3 linked regions of the Bombyx mori genome follow. The protein of the gene in region 1 purifies or fractionates together with the protein of each later gene. This does not show direct contact. Links are inferred from orthologs where the notes say so. Each region holds a gene or a part of one and is shown on either strand. Other genes may lie near its edges. The genes, in order: FGFR1 oncogene partner 2 homolog, sarcolemmal membrane-associated protein and programmed cell death protein 10.

Region 1 (4,267 bases):
TTTTGACAGCAGCTACAAAATAATCCATTAATGATAATTACTACATACTACAAGTATATAATTTATGCATACTACTTAAGTAACAGATGGACTTTTTGGCGGGAACGCGAGGAGTGAAGTTGTGTGATTTTTTTTAGTTTGTCTGTTTAGTGTTTCTTCAGGTTTAAATGTGTAATAACGGTGGTTTATTAACTGTTTAGTATCTGTGAAGGTGCACAAATGTGGGAAAATGAAATAAAGCCGTTGGACGTAACTTCTCGAGATTATATTTCATCTCATATCATCTCATTTCATTTAATTTCATTTCATCCCAGTTGATGAATGTCTCAAATTAATCATCTTCATTTCATTTCACTCCATGTTATCATTTTTCATAAAATTTAGAATATAAATTAAAATAAGACATGACTTAAAGGTCATAATTACCAGGTCACAAAATCCCATAAAAAATCATATTTATTTTTATTTTAAATTATTATTTTGCTTAACGTTCTAATTTCTGCCAGTCAAGTTTGATGTTTTGAAGGGACGCCTTTACCTGTTGAAATCGATACTTTATTGGTGTTTTCATTTCACGACAGCTCACCTAGGATTAGTGGAGCATTTTTCAAGGCTTATTTTCTCAGGTTTTCCCATTTGTGGTACCTACCTACTTCTTCTTATGCCGGCCACTGTTTGCGCGCATGTGTAGGGCCGTCAAACATTCATTCGCAAACTTAGCTTTGCAAATGGGTTCGGTATTTAATTTGCGAACCCGTTTGCGCTTCTTCCTACACTTGTTTACGAATGTCTCACGAATTTCTCTTCCTTTTTAATTCGTCAATAGAACATTGACGAGAAAAAGAGTTTTGAATTCTTTCCCAGACATCATTAACAGCCATGCTGTTTTTATGGGATTTCTTTTGATGAAGATACGCTACACAGGAGACGCCACGAACTATGAAAATGACGATACGTCCATTACCTTCGCAATCGTCGGCGCAACTGGGCAAATGAATGTGTGGTAAACTCAATCCAGAGCCGTATGGTAGGTACGTGGGAAAAAAGATCTCTGGAAGCGCACTGTGATGAACGCTACTCTACTCCGGTGGCAGGTACGTTCAATGGTGTGTTTTACACTTCTACAACTTAAACTATTTTTGAAGCATTAGGATATTTGAATTAATATCCAGTGGCACGGTGATCTTACCATATAATCTGGTGATTTAAAATATTGTTGCAAGTTGAGGCATTTAAGCGGTGTAGGCAATGCTCATAATTTAAAAAAAAATTGTCATACCATGGACACCAAACTAATTTCAAATCTAATCGTAAATATGTTTTGTCTTTGTCGCTCTACAAACCTTTTTATTTGACAGAAGAGTTTCGACGTCATTTCAAGGTATTCTTTAAAATTGTCCGTATAATAAGTCGCTTCAAATCAAACATAATGAAAGCTAATGGCTGAAACTGTTCACGAAACAGCTGATGGTGCATCGTTCGATCTTCAATAAAAACTTGTTTCTTTCATTCTAGAGTGTAATACTATTTAGATGAAACCCCATTCGTTTCATTGTTTAGCTTTGAAATCAGGGTGTGTTAAACCGTGTCACGGATCAGTTTATGAAAGTAAATTTCTTGGTGTCTATATTGCTGGCTTTTTCAGATGTCACTGACTATCCAGCAAATAATTTTGGATGCAAAAAGGCTCGCAGGTCGTCTTAAAGAACGCGAAACAGAGGCTGATGCTCTGTTGAGCGAAACCCAAGCAACTTATCGACAAATTCATACAATGAAACAGGTAAGATTTTCTTATGCACTCTATTAATTTAAACAGTGTTAAAGAACTTAAACATTAGGCCCCATTTTCGAAAGAAAAAATGGTTTTATATTCGACGTTTTAACTTAAACTTAATGTGATTAGAATAATGATCTTGTTATTAATTCCAATCTAATATGATTGGATTGTATTGGTGACCTTGAGTTTAATTGTCAGTTTTGTAAACAACATTCAAACACGCAAGCTTTCACAAAGTTATGGTACCTTCAAAATAAAGAAGTTCTTTTTAATATTATTGGATAAAATACATAATATAAATAGAAACCAAAAATATTATTTTGGTCATAAATTTAATCATTATTTTTAATGACAATACTTATATAATATACGATATTTTACACGTAGTACACGCCAATAACTTAACGTAGCGTTTTATTTTATTTTAAAAACCTTAAATTTTGTACTATTACTGTAAATTGAATCTGGGATCTGTAATGATATGTTTTGCGAACAACACATCTACTTTACTAGAGTTTCAATCAATACTAATAAGAAAATGATATTATGTCATAAACTCATCAAATTACTTATTTATGTGATTATATTTAGCATTTAGATAGTGGTCATATAGAGTAGTAATTTGGCATATTGAATGATTTATTGTGGTCTACTCAATATGCCTAACATAAACAAAACGAAATTTGTTTTTCCTGTACTTGTATTTCTGCTATTTAAGTCAGTGTAATAATTCTAATCAGTTTATTTGTTTATTATAATCCTTACTTCTGACAAACATGTTATGATGTCATTCTAAATTATAACTATTTTCTTTAGTATAAAGAAGAAGTTGATACATTAAATGAGGCATCACGAGAGAGACCAAGAGGGGCTCTCATCGCCAGCATAGAGAGAGAGTCTCAGCTCATGAGGGGTGTGCAGAGGGAGAATGGTGAGCTCAGAGCTGCACTAGAAGATCACAGACGAGCCTTGGAATTAATCATGTCAAAATATCGACAGCATACAGAGAAGAAAATATGGGAGTCAAGAATAGATTTCACCTCAGCTATAAATGAGAAACAACAAGAGGTTTTTTGCTTTTATGACATAGAATCCTTACTATTTTTGTGTTATGTTCCTTTTTATCAAAGTATTTCACAGTAGATTTTCCCAAGAAATCAAATTTATAACAAATGTAAAAATCTTTAAAGTAAAGAATGCTTGGTACTCAAATAAAGTACTAGTGTCAAGCATTGCTAATATATCAATATTTTAATTAAACAAGCAGATACTGATTTTGGAATGCAGTCTACAATGTAGGAATAACATTCTGTAATGTGTAAGTGGGTACCAATTTTTCTAATGAAATACGTACTTAACAAAATGTTCGCGATTGACTTCCACGGTGAAGGAATAACATCGTGGAATAACAATAAATAGAAATCAAACCCGCAAAATTATAATTTGCGTAATTACTGGTGGTAGGACCTCTTGTGAGTCCGCACGGGTAGGTACCACCGCCCTGCCTATTTCTGCCGTGAAGCAGTAGTGCGTTTCGGTTTGAAGGGTAGGGCAGCCGTTGTAACTACACTGAGACCTTAGAACTTATATCTCAAGGTGGGTGGCGCATTTACGTTGTAAATGTCTATGGGCTCCAGTAACCACTTAACACCAGGTGGGCTGTGAGCTCGTCCACCCATCTAAGCAATAAAAAAAAAAAATAAGAACTCCTGCCAAAGTACTAATTTGCATTATTACTGGTGATAAGGCACCTTGTTATCCTACATAGGTAGGTACCACCATTCTGCCTATTTCTGCCACAAAGAAATGATCCGGCCTAGAGAGTGGGAAAGCTGTAAAACTTTATGTATTTTATATGCTGTTCTTTCCAATGAGATATAGATTTCAAGTATCAAGGTGTGGTCTGCATTCACATTGTAATGACTGTTAGGCACTAAATGCCAAATGGGCTGTGATTTCATTCACTTGCAAATACTATAAAAATAAAGATCATTCACGGCAAGTGAATTTTTTACCACAAGCAAGCCTTAAATCGATTAGTTTAGTTTCATGTTTTTACTTTAGAATATTTTGACATATAGAAGGCATATCACTCAAACATGATAATAAATTCACAGAAGAAAAATATCTTATGTTTCAGTTGATACGCCAGCAAGCAGAACGAATCAATGAAATGACAACTGTTATGTACAAAGCAATAAATATGGACGAGAATAGTGAAGCCAGGAAGGATGAAGAGCTTTACCAAAGGCTCATTACTGAAAACAAGGTAAGAAGTTTCTAAAGTATTGTACAACATAATATGGTTGATGGGGCTTTCTTCTCCACACACAAATGCTACTTAATTATGAAAGTATTCCATCAGCTTATTTGCTTATAGTTCATAGATTTATTGCAGGTTTAAAAAAAAAAATACTTTTATAGTTTTCTGTAAGATCTTATGGACACTATTAGTATGACAATAGATTGAAGATCATTTTAGAAAGAATC
Region 2 (3,655 bases), on another chromosome or scaffold:
ACTATCCTTTAGGCCACGACGACGTAAAAATGTGCGACAATCATGTTCAATGACCGTGTTAAACTCACTAACTGTCGGTAACTCTGCTTTTGCTGTTGAAGACAAAAATATATACCTGGGACAAACAGTCCGGTTAGATAAGTCCAACTTCGAGAGGGAGGTCAGTGGGCGGATCCAACTCTGTATTTATTATTCTTCATAATTTCCTTGTCGAGAACGGATATCTTACACCTTGTATAAATTTACAAAGTAACACATTTACGCATTACATTGGCGCATTTACGTCGTAGATGTCTATGGGCTCCAGTAACCACTTAACACTAGGTGGCCTATAAGCTCGTCCACCTATCTAAGAAATAAAAAAGAAGACATCGCTGGAGTGTGTGAATGACGATATGAGAGCGAGAGGAGTGAGTGTTGAGCTGACGGCTGATAGCAGGGAATGGAAGAGAAAAATTAGCTGTGCCGACCCTACCTAGTGGGATAAGATGAAGAAAAAAAGGGTAGACAAATGGGCTCTTACGAGCTGGACGGACGACCTGCTAAAGGTCGCGGGAATCCGCTGGATGCAGGTTGGGCTAGAACGGTAATTGTGGCGAACCTCGAAGGGGACATAAATGCCGCAGTGAGCGGCTATGGGCAGTTGAAAAAAAAAACAAGTCAACCAAGTCTTCATTCTACGTACGTTAAAAGATATAATTAAATTACATGTTAAGTGATGAATTTCGACATTAGTATATATTCTACTTTTCTTTTAATACATTGTTATTTATAGAAAAAAAAAAAAGATCATTGAACAAGTGTTTGGTAAATCCGAAACGTCCGCATTGTTTCCTATTCTTCTTTAACAAACGCGCATACCATTGTAATCAGTCCCGATCTTTTTTAAAACGATCCTAAGAATGCGAGAACGCTCTTGAGTAAATTTCAAAAGGTATCGTTGAATAAAAACTGTTTAGTATTTCCATTGTCGTCGCGTCCATTGCATTTATCCATAATTTACTTTGTATGCTACTCGACGTTCTGTCTGCCTGCTACTGTTGACATAAAATCCAACTTGTTCAGATGCCTCAAATTCTAATAAAACATATGAACGTATTCTTCTATACTTCATTAGAATATTTTTGTATAATGTTTATTTGTCTACTTATCAACTGTGCACATAATAGTTTTTGATCATTATAATTGACGTAAAAGAATAATAGTCTTTGTGACGGGTTCCTTATCTCACCTGGTTGATGTCACGGATTGTTTGTTTGGCTTATATCGTATAAACTTGGATTCCTTTTCGACACAATGTCATATACATAGATCGAAGTGTAAATGTAGTCATTTGGCATAATTTTTCACTAAAGATATTGAGAATACAAAGATTATACTGAATCATTTTTAATTGTTATTATTGCATTGCATTCGATTCATGTAAGTTCTTTCAAACGTCTTATAAACTATCAAAGACCTTCTGCAGTTTTCTTTGTTGTATCTGATCGTATTTATAAAGAAGATAAGAATTACTCGTTGAATCTTGAGTCATCGTGACCCCGGGTGCTTGAGATGGCAATTGCGCAGTGGCAATTAAATCAAATTATACTATTTCTGACATCGCATCTGTACAACTAACAGCGTCAGTAAGGAAGTTGTTGTATCTCCTTATCTCATACAGGAAGATGCTATAACATTCAAATGATTGTACAAATGGAAAACTATGAACATAAGTACCATAAATGTATTCAATTGTTTTTTTTTTTTTTTTTTTTTTTTTTTTTTTTTTTTTTTCAACTGATTTAGTGTTCTTTCGAATCTATTTCTGATTTGAAGTTATAATTGTACAAAACATTTAAACTTCATTGTTCCACAGCGTTATAATTTAATGTGCTCGTATGATAATAACGTGTAATAACATCACATGCATCGCTAAAGTAAATAGTTTTAATATCTGAGTCATGAACGCAAACATGAATTGATTACGAAGCTAATTTATAACTATAAACCAAACGCCACTCATCTAATTAGTTACATAACGTTTACTAGTTTAATAGTAAATATATACTATAATAGTAATGTTTCTGGGATTCGGGCCTCTAAAGGAATTATCACTATGATAATAAATTTGTTTGTTTAGACGGAAACTGCGATACTTTAAGACAAATAGTTTTTTTGTATGGAAACTATCGACATCTTGTAGCGGATACCCCTGTACTTATTTATAAATGTTGTTAAAGTTAAGACATTTAATTATTGTGTAAACTAAACACAGAAAAAAAAAACAACATGCAAGTCATTATTTGTTATAGACAAACTGATTAAATTTTATCAATTAGTGGTTTCTGAAAATTTACATAATCCTTCATTAAAAATAAAATATAGGATAGGTAATATGTTACTGCCATCTATAGAAGCAATGAGAAACTAATCGGCCATCTAGAGGCCGACACCCGTAAACATTTTTGTTGAGTGCTTGATTTGCTTATCTATAACTTAGTTTATGTGTATTATCTATGGAAATTAGAGTTTCGACTGTTTGTATTGTACAAATCTGTCTTATAATTATTTTATTTATATTAATTGTTTTATGAATATTCTGCAGATTGGACGTAATGTCTACCGTGCAGCGGCGAGTCCTACTAACGCCATATTCGAATGTCGGGTTCTGTCGAGGCAGCATGCCACACTGTACTACGAAAAGGGACACTTTTACCTTGTGGTAAGTTGATGATCGTGATAATAACATAATCAAGTCTAAAAAAAACAAACTACAATATCATATTCGACATTAAATTCTCTAGAAGTGTTGGTCATGTTGTTCTTTAATTGTTTATTTTTATTACACATACGGAATATGGTAAGAATGTAAACAACATCTTTAACTTAGTAGTGCAATGTGTACCAATTGCTTTTTTTTTAAATATTGGTACTGTTCTCTGTTTGCACGGCTTAAAGGACAGAATCCAGGGCCAGAATCATGCTATAATTCCTATCCGTCAGTCAGCTCAACCACGCGTTTAGTTCAATAAAAATTCAATAGGATTTTCGCTTTTGACATCACGACTGTGCGAACGTTGTGAAAACTGTTACAGTTATGATAGCATAAAAGTTATGCACGTTACGAAATTGAAGTCATCAATTCATTCTACATTTGAAATTATGAGTGGGCCTTGTACCACTTATACGTGCTATAGTTCTGTAACGGACTACTCTCACTGATTCCGCCCACGGCCAATAATTATTCTAATCATGTCATTTCAATAATGTATGGTTAGTTGATGTTTTCATTAATTCCTTATTTTATTGCCTTTAAAACGTTAAACCTCACCCAATTGTGGGATCGTAAGTTTTATATTTCATCATAGTTATTACCTTTTGGAATTTGCTTTTAGAAACGCTTATCTTAATCTAAGCAAGCAGTTGCTTACATAATCATAGACATATTTACTTTGTCTTTGTACTGTGCCTTGTATCAAGTTTTGTTTGTGGGGAAGTCAAGAAAACTCCCAGTTACGTATTATGTTTCAAAATACGATATAGGTATACAGCTGCCGCCTTAACCGATGGCCAGCACTGACCATCTGGTGTCTGCTGTATCATTGCCTTTGTTGGTAAAATGTGTCAATTATGACGTTTAAAATATTATGGCAAGACCGGTTGGTTGTGCGAT
Region 3 (4,281 bases), on another chromosome or scaffold:
GCAGATAGTGGAATAGATGATGTTATTTGCGAATATGATTTCTTTACAATAGGAAACAATTTAGAGGCTTCTTGGTATGAAATGGGGTTTTGAGACATATGTTTTTTAATATTTGTTTGTCTACTAAACTCAGGGCAAGATTTGTTTGTAGCCATATGTTCACCTCTACAGTTAACACAAGAAAAAGTCTCAGTATTACAAGCCAGTCCGCTGTGCTCTCCAGCACATTTATTACATCTAGGTTTGCTCCTGCATTGAACACGAGTGTGTCCAAAGCGACAACAATTGAAACATTGTACCGTTGGATAAATATACTGTTCAACTGGAATACTTGAAAAAAAGGAATACACTCTAGAGGGAAGAGACTGTCCGTCAAAAGTCAAGACCACAGTTTGAGTAGGAATCCATGAAGTTCCATCTGAGTTGACAGACTTCCTGTTTAATCTACGGGATTTGATAATTTGTCCATAGCCTTCTGGGATTTGCAGATTGTCTACAATGTCCTCATGAGTCCACTCCTGAGGGATACCCTTTATCAAACCCATTTTACATATATTATATGTAGGAATCACTGGAATCACAATGGATTCATAGACATGTTGGATATGAAAATATTGGCATCACTATGTGTTTTAAAAGTTATTGCCAGGCGATTACGACCTACTCGTTTAATTCCATCCTGTAAGATATTACCAAGATTGCTTTTCTTTAGAAAATTTCCAAATTTAAGTGGGTGCAGTGATGTAGTACTATTAGAATCTGAGATTAAAGTAACATGGACCATATATGGACCAGGATCCTGTTCAGTGTATTTTTTTCTGTAAACAGAGTCAGCCATTGGGGTCTCAGATGGTGTCATAGAAGGACTCGCTGAAGTAGGCTCTGGTGAGGTCTGTACAATTTGGCGAGGAGGCACTATAAGCTTATTTACGTTATTTGCAAGATTTCCCGCCAAAGCCTGCTGCAGCGGGCGCAACGAAAGTTGTTTGTCCGAGATCTTTGGTTTAAAAGAATTAACAAGTTTCTTTTTTTGGGATTTCTTCGATTTAACGTTGACAAATTCAGATACGTTGGAAAGGTCGAACTCATCACAGAAAAATATTGGTTGGCTAAACCTTGAGTTAGTCGTATCAGTTGTCTCCTCAGTAATATTCGGATCCGGGGGATCCGTTCCCGCCTCCAACTCCATACTATCTACGCTAAAGTACTAAAATATACAATTATAAACTAAACATATATACAGTTATAAACTAAAATATGCTACAATATCTACAGAATATCAAATTAAATTAGTTAAAAAGGATATGAATTTTTTAATTGGCCCTCTTCTCAAGTTCCGTCCCAAATTTTTTGAAGGTTCCCGCCTCTCTCAATCTGTGGTTCAATGAGTGAAATCGTATTTTTTTTTTATTGATCTGGTGAAGAGGCAAAGAAACTTTGATCATACTCCTAAATTTTTATTAAATATTAAAATATTAAAGCCATGCGTCAGTTGTATTGTCATGGTCTTTTCATGAAAACCCTAAAAACTATGCCTATGATATTTTCTTGTAATTTTCAAAGTACAAAGGATTTAGCTGTAGGTGCTTACATTTCGTTTACAATGGACTAATCAAACAAGAAAATTCAATACGTTCACGTTGTTTGACTTTTGGCGGGAACGCGGGGCGAGAAGTTGTGTGAATTGTTTTATTTATTAAATTAGTCTTTCTTTGGGTTTCAATGTGTAATAGCAGTGGTTTATTAAATGTTTAGTACCCGTGAAAGGGCAAAAATGTGGAAAAATGAAACAAAGCCGCCGCGGCGCCGTGCTGGGTGTAGTTTCCCAGGATCTTCCAAAAAGTCTCAGTAAATAACCATATCACTCAGACTATACTTCATCCCAACTCATCTTGTTTCATTTACTTTCATCCTAATTGATTCATATTTCAAATTAATTAATTTAATTTCGTTCTCTTCATTTTTCATAAAAAAGGAACAATTTGGTTGTAAGGTGATACTTTCGCCTTTCCAGTTAGAAAAAGGGAAGTACTACCACTTGACATATTTCTCAAATTGTCACCAATGATTACAAAATTTACCTTCATTAATTAAACTGTTTTTATCTGATTGTTACTGGCCTACAATCATTGGGGTTTTATAAATTTCTTAGATAAATTGAAATATTTAAACTATCACAATGACAATGGGCGATGAATTGCCTGTGACTTCTTTGGTATTACCAGTTTTAATTCGCCCTGTCCTAACGCAGGTGAGTCGTTCTAAATCTACTTACATGTATTAAAATATGACCTTATCATTTTAGGCATTCTAATCAAGGTAACTTAACTATCAACTAGTTTCTTGGTAACCTCAACAAGACCCAATATCAGAATTAATAAAATGAATTGATCTTGTATCTTTTGTTTTACAGTCGTTAATAATAAAGAAACCACTGTAATATTGCTTTCATAACTTTATTCATATTTTGTTACTGGTTACTGGAGTTCTTAGAAAAAATATCATGAATACTGTTGCCCTAAACTTCAAGTCTCAATTGCCTGATACAAAAAGTTATCCGAGCAGGATAACTGACAGAGCAAGATAAAGCAGACATTGTTATTTCTTGGGAAAAATAAAATGGTACATGTGTGTTCATTTTGATCAATGTCGTCTTAGATTAGGTAGCAAATAGACGCAAAATTATAGGAATTTAAGGATGAAAATGGTGAAAATAGTAGTACTGTTATAGGAAAGGTAAGTATTAATAGTAGTATGTATTTTGTCGACCCAAGCAAAGTCGATAGCCAGATAGACTATTATTAATATTATTTTCCCACCTAAAGTATGTTTTAAAATGTGTTTTCAGCTGGAGAAATATGATCTGGCTGCCTCTCAGACATTACGAGCAGCTCTCACCAAAGCAGAGGCTGCAGTACCTGGTCTTAATTATGATTTGGTGGCAGGAATCATGAGGAGAGCAGATATTCCTGTTAATATGAATGAGAGCTTATTAAGATTACAAGGGAGTCTCACAGATTCAGAATGTATGAATTTATATTTTTTTGTATTTAGTTAACTTACAAGTTTATGATACTATTTAAAAAACCTTCAAGTTATGAAAACTGACCATTTTTCAGAAATAAAACGATAAAGACAAAATTAAAAAACAAACGATTTTACAATGTAATCTCAAGAAAGTTCTGTTTATAGGTACTGATTTAAGGCTGAACAGGACTGAAGAGGCATTTCAGGAGCTTAATAAGAAATCTGCTGCTTTGAAAAAGATACTGAGTCGCATTCCAGATGAGATAACTGATCGGAAGACTTTTCTTGAGACTATCAAGTATGTGCTGTAGAAAATGCAATATTGGTTGTATTCTTTAATATATCAACACTTGAAAGGCAAACATGACTAAGTGACAATGCGTGTACTTTACAGTAGACCAATTTAAAGCTGAAATACCTGAAAAAAATTCAATTTTAATGAATCTAGCTGTAGGATTGAAATGTTTTTAATATACCTAGAAATATATATTTTTTACGCATTAAATATGGTTATTGCCTATCATTTATGTACAAAGCAGTTATTATTGCTTAGTCACATTTGCCTTTCAAGCGTTGATATAATAATCAACATTGTAATAACCATAGTATATAATTTAACAGGGAAATAGCCTCTGCCATAAAAAAATTACTGGATGCTGTAAATGAGGTATCTACATATACTCCAGGTCCTGGGAAGCAAGTATTAGAACAGAGGAAAAGAGAATTTGTAAAATATTCAAAGCGATTTTCTACTACACTCAAAGAATACTTTAAAGAAGGACAGTGAGTATTTATGTCAATTAGTTACAATCGGAGATCCATTGTTTTTTATTTTTATTGCATTAGAGCAGTGATTCTGAACCTTTTTTTTGTTGCGGCACATATTTAACTATTTCAAAATTTGGCGGCACACAAAGAAAAAGATAAAAATTATTTACTTACTACCGAATCACATACATTTGCTAATTTTAACGAAAGATAAGGTGCAGTAACTACTATGCAACACCTTGTGAATCCCAACGATCACTAAAACAACACGTTTTGTACGAAAAAGTGGCAAGTGTGCGCCGACTTGAGACATATTCCTATTGCTATGCACGCCGCTTCATCATAATTTGGCACTAAGAAAAACCGCATTGCAAAGCAAATAATAAAATAATTTATTTTTTTGTGGATTTCAATATATACCTAGTCAGGTCAAAAATTCTGTCACATGTTTAATGTAAAATAATTGAAACAAGTTTATTCATTATG

What was found.
Region 2: the proteins of FGFR1 oncogene partner 2 homolog (region 1) and sarcolemmal membrane-associated protein purify together in Homo sapiens (affinity purification with mass spectrometry; 3 studies listed by BioGRID and IntAct, with this or other methods). This does not show direct contact. The link is inferred for Bombyx mori from reciprocal best matches to the Homo sapiens genes FGFR1OP2 and SLMAP.
Region 3: the proteins of FGFR1 oncogene partner 2 homolog (region 1) and programmed cell death protein 10 purify together in Homo sapiens (affinity purification with mass spectrometry; 3 studies listed by BioGRID and IntAct, counting the BioPlex papers as one, with this or other methods). This does not show direct contact. The link is inferred for Bombyx mori from reciprocal best matches to the Homo sapiens genes FGFR1OP2 and PDCD10.

The regions. Positions count from the first base shown.
Region 1 is NC_085119.1:12,364,490-12,368,756, forward strand, and holds the start of FGFR1 oncogene partner 2 homolog, read left to right. Parts: upstream 1-1,372; 5' UTR 1,373-1,573; intron 1,574-1,645; coding exon 1,646-1,780; intron 1,781-2,593; coding exon 2,594-2,845; intron 2,846-3,917; coding exon 3,918-4,046; intron 4,047-4,267. UniProt on the Homo sapiens protein: May be involved in wound healing pathway.
Region 2 is NC_085114.1:11,213,213-11,216,867, reverse strand, and holds part of sarcolemmal membrane-associated protein, read left to right. Parts: intron 1-2,587; coding exon 2,588-2,704; intron 2,705-3,655. UniProt on the Homo sapiens protein: Associates with the striatin-interacting phosphatase and kinase (STRIPAK) core complex, forming the extended (SIKE1:SLMAP)STRIPAK complex.
Region 3 is NC_085110.1:8,725,684-8,729,964, forward strand, and holds the start of programmed cell death protein 10, read left to right. Parts: upstream 1-1,361; 5' UTR 1,362-2,179; coding exon 2,180-2,251; intron 2,252-2,848; coding exon 2,849-3,026; intron 3,027-3,192; coding exon 3,193-3,325; intron 3,326-3,648; coding exon 3,649-3,810; intron 3,811-4,281. UniProt on the Homo sapiens protein: Promotes cell proliferation. Modulates apoptotic pathways. Increases mitogen-activated protein kinase activity and STK26 activity. Important for cell migration, and for normal structure and assembly of the Golgi complex.